2 linked regions of the Coturnix japonica genome follow. The protein of the gene in region 1 purifies or fractionates together with the protein of each later gene. This does not show direct contact. Links are inferred from orthologs where the notes say so. Each region holds a gene or a part of one and is shown in the gene's direction. Other genes may lie near its edges.

The links.
Region 2: the proteins of CEP290 (region 1) and CEP97 purify together in Homo sapiens (co-immunoprecipitation; 4 studies listed by BioGRID and IntAct, with this or other methods). This does not show direct contact. The link is inferred for Coturnix japonica from reciprocal best matches to the Homo sapiens genes CEP290 and CEP97.

The regions. Positions count from the first base shown.
Region 1 is NC_029516.1:38,920,694-38,924,226, reverse strand, and holds the end of CEP290 (centrosomal protein of 290 kDa), read left to right. Parts: intron 1-973; coding exon 974-1,047; intron 1,048-1,181; coding exon 1,182-1,285; intron 1,286-2,117; coding exon 2,118-2,221; intron 2,222-2,500; coding exon 2,501-2,689; 3' UTR 2,690-2,744; downstream 2,745-3,533. UniProt on the Homo sapiens protein: Involved in early and late steps in cilia formation. Its association with CCP110 is required for inhibition of primary cilia formation by CCP110.
Region 2 is NC_029516.1:76,479,057-76,482,690, forward strand, and holds part of CEP97 (centrosomal protein of 97 kDa), read left to right. Parts: intron 1-68; coding exon 69-235; intron 236-1,137; coding exon 1,138-1,302; intron 1,303-1,961; coding exon 1,962-2,092; intron 2,093-2,216; coding exon 2,217-2,961; intron 2,962-3,634. UniProt on the Homo sapiens protein: Acts as a key negative regulator of ciliogenesis in collaboration with CCP110 by capping the mother centriole thereby preventing cilia formation. Required for recruitment of CCP110 to the centrosome.

The DNA.
Region 1 (3,533 bases):
TGCACTGGCACTTCTCAGAGTAAAGTGCTGAATACACAAAAGTCATACATTCCCTAACCAAGTAAATGTATTCAATAAATAGAAAGAGAACATGGAATGGAGTTTTGTAAAACAATTACTTTACTATTTGCTTATGTTTGCTTTTCACTTTCTGGTTTAAAGTCAGCACAATTAACATGAACGAGCTTCTCCTGAACTGATGGATCCTGCTTACCAATAGCAAAATTAAGAGAAATTCTTTTATTATGTGACATTTATCTGGGGCAACACAATTTCAGGTTTGTTTTGTCTCAAATGCAAATGAAAGGATGTGGTCAAGGTTCACTCCAATTCAAAGAAACCGATCTATTGTCAAAGAATTTTAGGTAATAATAGAACCAAAATCTATTCCTAACAGTAGCCTTATAAGAGTTCATAAATAATCACTGTATTAAAATAAAACACAAATCTAATTAAAGAGACGTTAAATTTTTGCTCTTGTATCTTCTACTGAAAGGTATGTCTACAGGCTAACTCCCTCTCTGCTTTTAGTTTATGACTACAGATCATTTCTAGTCAATGTACATTAATTTGAGTTTTAATTGCAGTTACTTGCATTTCAAATGACACAAAGAAAATTGGACACCTAGGTATGCAAACATGTCAGTACCTTTAGTGTGTTATAACTTTCATTCTGATGTTTCAATTTATGTTCCTAACATTCTCTTCAATACTTTTTTCCACCCTTGATGAAATATGCAGCACATTCTAGCTTTAAGAGTACTGTAGATAATTAGAAACTGCAGAAACTGGATGTAGGTTATTACTTCCACTCTTTGTGATCACCTAGTACTTAGCTACACCACCTACTATATTAGTGTTATTTCTTTCGTTTTATTAAACTACGTCAAAGTAACTAACTCCATGTGAAATGCACGATCTGTGGATACTGTTTTAAAGACAATGTCTTGTTTGTTTGTTTTTTAAAAAAAAGATTGAGCTTCTCAGCAACCTTCCTGAAAGTGCAAGGACAGAGCATGGCTTCATCAGGGAGCTTCAGCTTTTAAGGTACTGTATTTCTCAGCCAACATATATGAAATGAGAATGATAAGCTAAAAGCCACTGCAGATTTTAATTATGTATTACATATTCCTAAACATGATGAGATTTTTAAATTATTAAAAAATTATTTTATATTCCAGTTTAACCAATAGTCAATTAAAGGAAGAAAAAGCAGAACTAGTACGCCAGATAGAAGACTATAAGCACCAGATACACATGTACACAAGTGAAGATCCTGCAGCTGGTAATCATTTTCAGTACATAAAATAACAATTTTTGTGTAGTTCAGGCCTGAAACTATTTTTACTCAATATGTGTCCAAAATAATATAATGCAAATATTTCTATGGTTTTATTAGTGGCAGTATACCATAAACTGGAGCAAATTAAGGTTTGTGAATTTACCTAAGATATTTATAAGTTAGTATTAGTAAAAAATTATTTTGAGCAAAAGGCTGGAATCTTTGCAAGATTTCTCATTCCAAGAAGTGAGTATTTCATGCTTTCTAAACCTCAAATACTGCTTGTAAAACTTCAGTCATTCATTGAAACCTTCCAGCTTACTCCTCTTGCCTTGGATTCCAGGCTTCTAGGAAACAAGTGTCTATTTCAGGATACCAGCCCTGTGAATGATTTAAGATTAGCAGCTGTCAGAAAAAGCCACAGCAAAAGCAAAGAGGGCTGTAGAGCAGCACGCTGCCATAACACCAGGAAGAAAACAAACAAACAAACCCACATGCTCTTGAATCATGAATATAATTAATAAGATCCTTAAACTCTCTTTTCCAAATTTTCTGTATTTAATTTAGAGAAACTGCACATGTATTTTTCAGGAATGTGCTGATAGACTGGTCATTTGAGTACTGCATTCAGTAACAAGAATAATACACCATTACCTAATTGGTGGAAGAACCAAAGAATAGCCAGGATGATTAGAAATTTTGGTGGTTGTTGATCAGAACTGAGTTTACACACTGCATCTCTTTACAGTTGAAACAGCTGAAGTATTATTGTAACAAATTTATGTGATTGATTATACTTACCTGTAATTTGCTATCAAGTCAATGATTTTTGCAGGAAATAGTGAAGTTTCAAAGGATAAAAACGATAAGTTACTGACAGAAGTAGCTGACCTTCAGGCACAGCTGAAAGCTTCTGAGTTGGAGAAAGAGCAGCTGAAGGTGAGTTGCAGAGATGATCTTGGGAAAGATAATGATCACAACTATAGTCAGTTAGAAGAACCTACTTAATACCCTAAATGACACAAAAACAAGTCAATTTCTAAGAGTTATGCCTATGAAGCTGATATTGTTAGTGAATTTTCCCAAGTAGATTTGTCTGTTGTAGAACGCATGTTCTCTAACACTCTTGTCTCTGAAGAAAAAAGGAAAAAAAGCTGTTGAAGACAAGTATTTCCTAAGTTTTGATTACAGATGATATCCCTTTGTTCTCTGTAATAGGAAGAAACAAAAAAGTTGAGAAAAGAACTGGAAAACTTCAATCCTTCCTTTTTTGAAGAAATTGAGGATCTGAAATACAACTATAACGAAGAATTAAAAAAAAATATTCTTTTAGAAGAAAGATTAAAGAAGCTTTCTGAAGAGTTTGGCGTGCAAGTGGATAGCCCAGCCAATAGTTCTGCTGATTAAACATTTAGTTTCCTTAGTACTGATAAGGAAAATAAATTCTTGGGCAGTTACAGAATACTGTTTTGTCTGTCATTCCGGGATAAGAAAAAAAAGGTATTGAAGTCATAATGATTTGGTACATTCTGCAGCTTGCTGAATTGATTAAGTCAATGGATTACAGTCAGTATTCACATACACCAGTCAAAATGAAAACCAGTTTTACCTCTCCCATCAAGTTTGCAATATTATTCTGAACAGTAATTGCAGTCATATATGTTCTTAAGGAAAAGTCCAAGTTTTCAACTCTAACCAGAAGTTCAGAAACTCTGAAAGCACTTTATGTATGGTAAATTCCAGATCAACAATACTGTAATTTATTCTGTCTGTCTTGCATTTTAACAGTAGACAGCGTTGTGGTCACCTCCGTTCTTACAACGTTAATTATTTTTACATTAATTGTACAAAATTCAAGAATAGAGAATGGAAAACATGCTTGCAGTACAGCAGCCAAACTAGAAGTATTTTTGTAAATAAATGTACAGTTACTATGTGAATTTTTCCATTTTCTATACTTTATACATATAGATGTATAGTTTTGTAGCGCAAATAAAAGCCCACTCTCAAACCACTATACATTCTTACTTTATTATTTGTGCCATCTTTTTTCAAATACTTAATAATGTTTCATAAATTTAGATGCAGTCTTATAATGTTTACTATGAAGCCAAGTCAAATCTTTCACTAAGAATCTTCAAAATAGAATGAGTATACTTCCTTTTACTTCCTCTAATCTTTGCACAAAAATAGTGGAAGTAGATGTAGGATGTAGCTTAATTAGTTTCTCAGGTTCTGGCACAATGCTGCA
Region 2 (3,634 bases), about 38 Mb from region 1:
CAAATTGTTCCATTCTGTAAGCAGCTAATGGTTCTCTTCAGTTAATAAATATGTCTTATTTTCTCAAGGTTTCTTTCCTGGCTTCTCTTCCTCAACTGGAACAGCTGTCGATAATGAACAATCCTTGCGTGATGGCCACACCTTCAGTCCCTGGCTTTGACTACAGGCCATATATAGTCAGCTGGTGTCTCAACCTTAAAGTTCTTGATGGATATATGGTTTCTCAGAAAGAAAGGTAATGTGATACTTCTAAAGTTAACAAGTGACCAGTTAAAGGTCAAGCAGGGGATCAGGCTCAGTCAGAATGGGTTTGTGAATGGTAGATCCCACATGACAAACCTGATTTAATTCTATGACAGGGTGACCTGCTTAATGAATGAGGGTAATGCTGTCAGTGTGGTCTACTTGGGCTTCAGTAAGGCCTTTGACACTGTCCCGCACAACATCCTCGTGGAGCAGCTGGCTGCCCATGGTTTGGGTGGGTGTACGCTCTACTGGGTGAAACACTGGCTGGATGGCAGGGACCAAAGAGTTGTGCTCAATGGAGTTAAATCCAGTTGGTGGCCACTCACGAGCAGTGTCCCCCAGGACTTGGAACTGGGGCCGCTTCTATTCAATATATTTATTAATAATCTTGATGAGAGGATTGAGCGCATCATCAGTAAGTTCGCAGATGACACGAAGTTGGGAGGGAGTGTTGATCTGCCCGAGGGAGGAAAGGCACTACAGAAGGACCTGGATAGACTGGATCGATGGGCCAAGGTAAACTAGATGTGTTTCGATATGGCCAAGTGTTGGGTCCTGCATTTTGGTCACAACAACCCCAGGCAACCCTACAGGCTTGGGGAGGAGTAGTTGGGAAAACTACCTGATGGAAAGGTACCTTGGTGTGCTGATGGACAGTAGGCTGAATATGAGCCAGCAGTGTGCCCAGGTGGCCAAGAAGGCTTGTATCATTATGTTTTTTCATCAGTCTTTACTGTATCACTGTGTGTATCACTGCTATCTGTATGACAGTGGAGGTATCTGGACACTGTTGACGTTCAGTGTTTTGGTAGCTCTTAGAGGAGCGGGGCTCAAAGAAAAGTTATGAGGTGTATGCTATATATGTATTAATAGTAACTCTCTTCCTGACAGTTTGAAAGCAGAATGGCTCTACAGTCAAGGTAAAGGAAGATCGTATCGACCTGGGCAACATGTTCAGTTAGTCCAGTACTTGGCTACTGTTTGTCCTCTTATATCTACATACGGTCTCCAGACTGAAGAAGATGCCAAGCTGGAAAAAATACTGAGTAAGCAAAGGTGAGAGCTTCTTGCTTCTCCACTGTTAGAGAATGTAATTGAGAATACGATTGTTTGTCTCATTATGTATTAGATATTTCCTTTTAAGAGTTTTAAAGCAATAGCAAGAGCCAAAGATGGGAAGAGTAATGGAGGTAAAGGATGAATGGAATGAGGAACAAGAGAGCAGCAGGAGTGTTTGCTGGGCACTCTAGAGGCAGTCTGTGCTCTGTAGAACATTGAAAGTGATTTGTACGAGGACTGTAATTAATATAAACTCTACCATCACAGATTTCTATCACAAAGAAAAAACGTATACACACAGGATCTTTAAGGCAGAGTGATTTTCTAATATCTACCTCATGATCTCTTAATTTCGCTAGGTTGAATTAACCTTTCTCTTTCTTCAGATTGTAAAGAATGGCTTTGTGGCAATGCTGTTACCTGAGTCCATTCCTCAAACTCTTTAGGCATACAAGCATAGCGTGTCCTGTGTAGTTCCCTACATTGTGAGCAGTCCTGTTATTAGGAGTAGGCTGGCACCTACCTATAGCTCGCATCTTGTTTTAGAAACGGTTTGATTTCTTGTTTACTTCAAAGTAGTTGATAGTTTATTTCAGATGCCTCATGTACCAAAAACAAATATTAAAATATAAAATCTGTTGAAACTTTGTCCTCAGGCTCCACCAGAGGCAGCTGATGTGTCAAAACCAAAATGAAGGACCAGCTACATCTGCTTCCAACAGGACTTTGCCCGTTACTTCTGAGCACAGCAGTCCAGTTCATCCACCACAGATAGTACTTGAAAGTGGTAAGGTGTAAATTTGCGCCTATAATCTTACCTGTGGGAATAAAATACAGATTTATTTTCTATGAACTGAAGTATTTTATTGAAACACTGTGTGACTTCTGAAAATGTCTTTCTGCCTGTCTAGAACGTGTCATCCAGAAGAATTCCTGGGTTGGACCAAGTGTGAATGATGATCATTCCTACGCAGTAAAGAACACTTTTCTTCATGAAAGAAATTGTCGCAAGGAGCTGTACCTTGAAGACGTACAGACTGATGAAGACAAGCTAAATAGCAGCCTGTTATCTTCAGAGTCTACTTTCATGCCAGTTGCTTCAGGATTGTCTCCAGCGTCTCCTACTTCAGAACCGAAGTTATGTGGAATCAGTTTGGATCTAGAAGATAATGATAGTACTGTACTTGAATTTGCAAAGGATGCTAATAGAAGAGAAACAGTTAACAAGCAAGAAGAAAGTTCTTGGCTTACAAAAGAGCACTCCAACAAAGTGACAGAAAGTGCGGAAACTCAAGAGCAAATGAAGGAGAGGGTGCAGTTATCATCTTCTGATCTGGTAAAAGCTAACCAGACTGATGCTGGCAATTCTTCAGCTTCCTCTGAAGACCAACTTCTGCATGGTCAGCCTGGCACTGAATTGAGAGTTACAACAGTCTGCACTGAGAAGGTGGCAGGAGAAAATTTGGATTCTTTAGCTGCTGTTGATCGAGGTGCAGATGAACTCCAAAGAATGACTAAAGCAGCTACCAAGCTTCAAGCCTGCTGGAGGGGGTTTTATACAAGGAACTACCATCCCCGAGCCAAGGAAGTACGATATGAAATTCGACTGAGCAGGATGCAGGAGCACATACTTTGCTTAACTGATGAAATACAGAAGTAAGTTGAGTTTGTACTGTGCATTTTTCAAGTCTGGATAGAGATTGTTCCAAGGTAGTTCTGGAATGGTATAGATGGGTTTTCTTATAACTGCGCACAGTAGGACCAAGCATTAATGATATAAAACAGTGATAATGGTAGAGGAAGAATTCCTGTAAGATATAATGGTTACACATGCATGTAACTTCTCATGCTCTCTGCATGTCCTCTATGAGCAGGCTGGTTTAGAATTAACTTTCTGTGTTCTTTTATTATTTGGACATGCATGTTGTGCTGCATAATCAAAATAGCAGTTGTAAATTATGAGCTTTTTGACTTAATTTGTTAGCAATTACAAAGTCTAAGTGTTGGTATTGAGTCATTCCTCTGTTAACCGTCAGAGGAATGATTCTCACTTTGCTTTTATGATTTTCAAATACGATTCTGTTTTTTGATCACATGAATCTATGTTTTAGGGGGATTGTTATCAAAGTTTCTCAACTTGTAATACAGGAATTGTGGATATATTAATATCGTTCAGGATCAGTCTGGGAACAGTTTGTCAGATCCCTTTGGTTTACTATCATAAATGACAGAAGTTCTGTGAATCAGACTGAGCTCTTGGTGAGCCTATAGAAAATCCCAATGCTTTCACATGATACCTCCACATTTATCTTGATGGCATCAGGTGGGG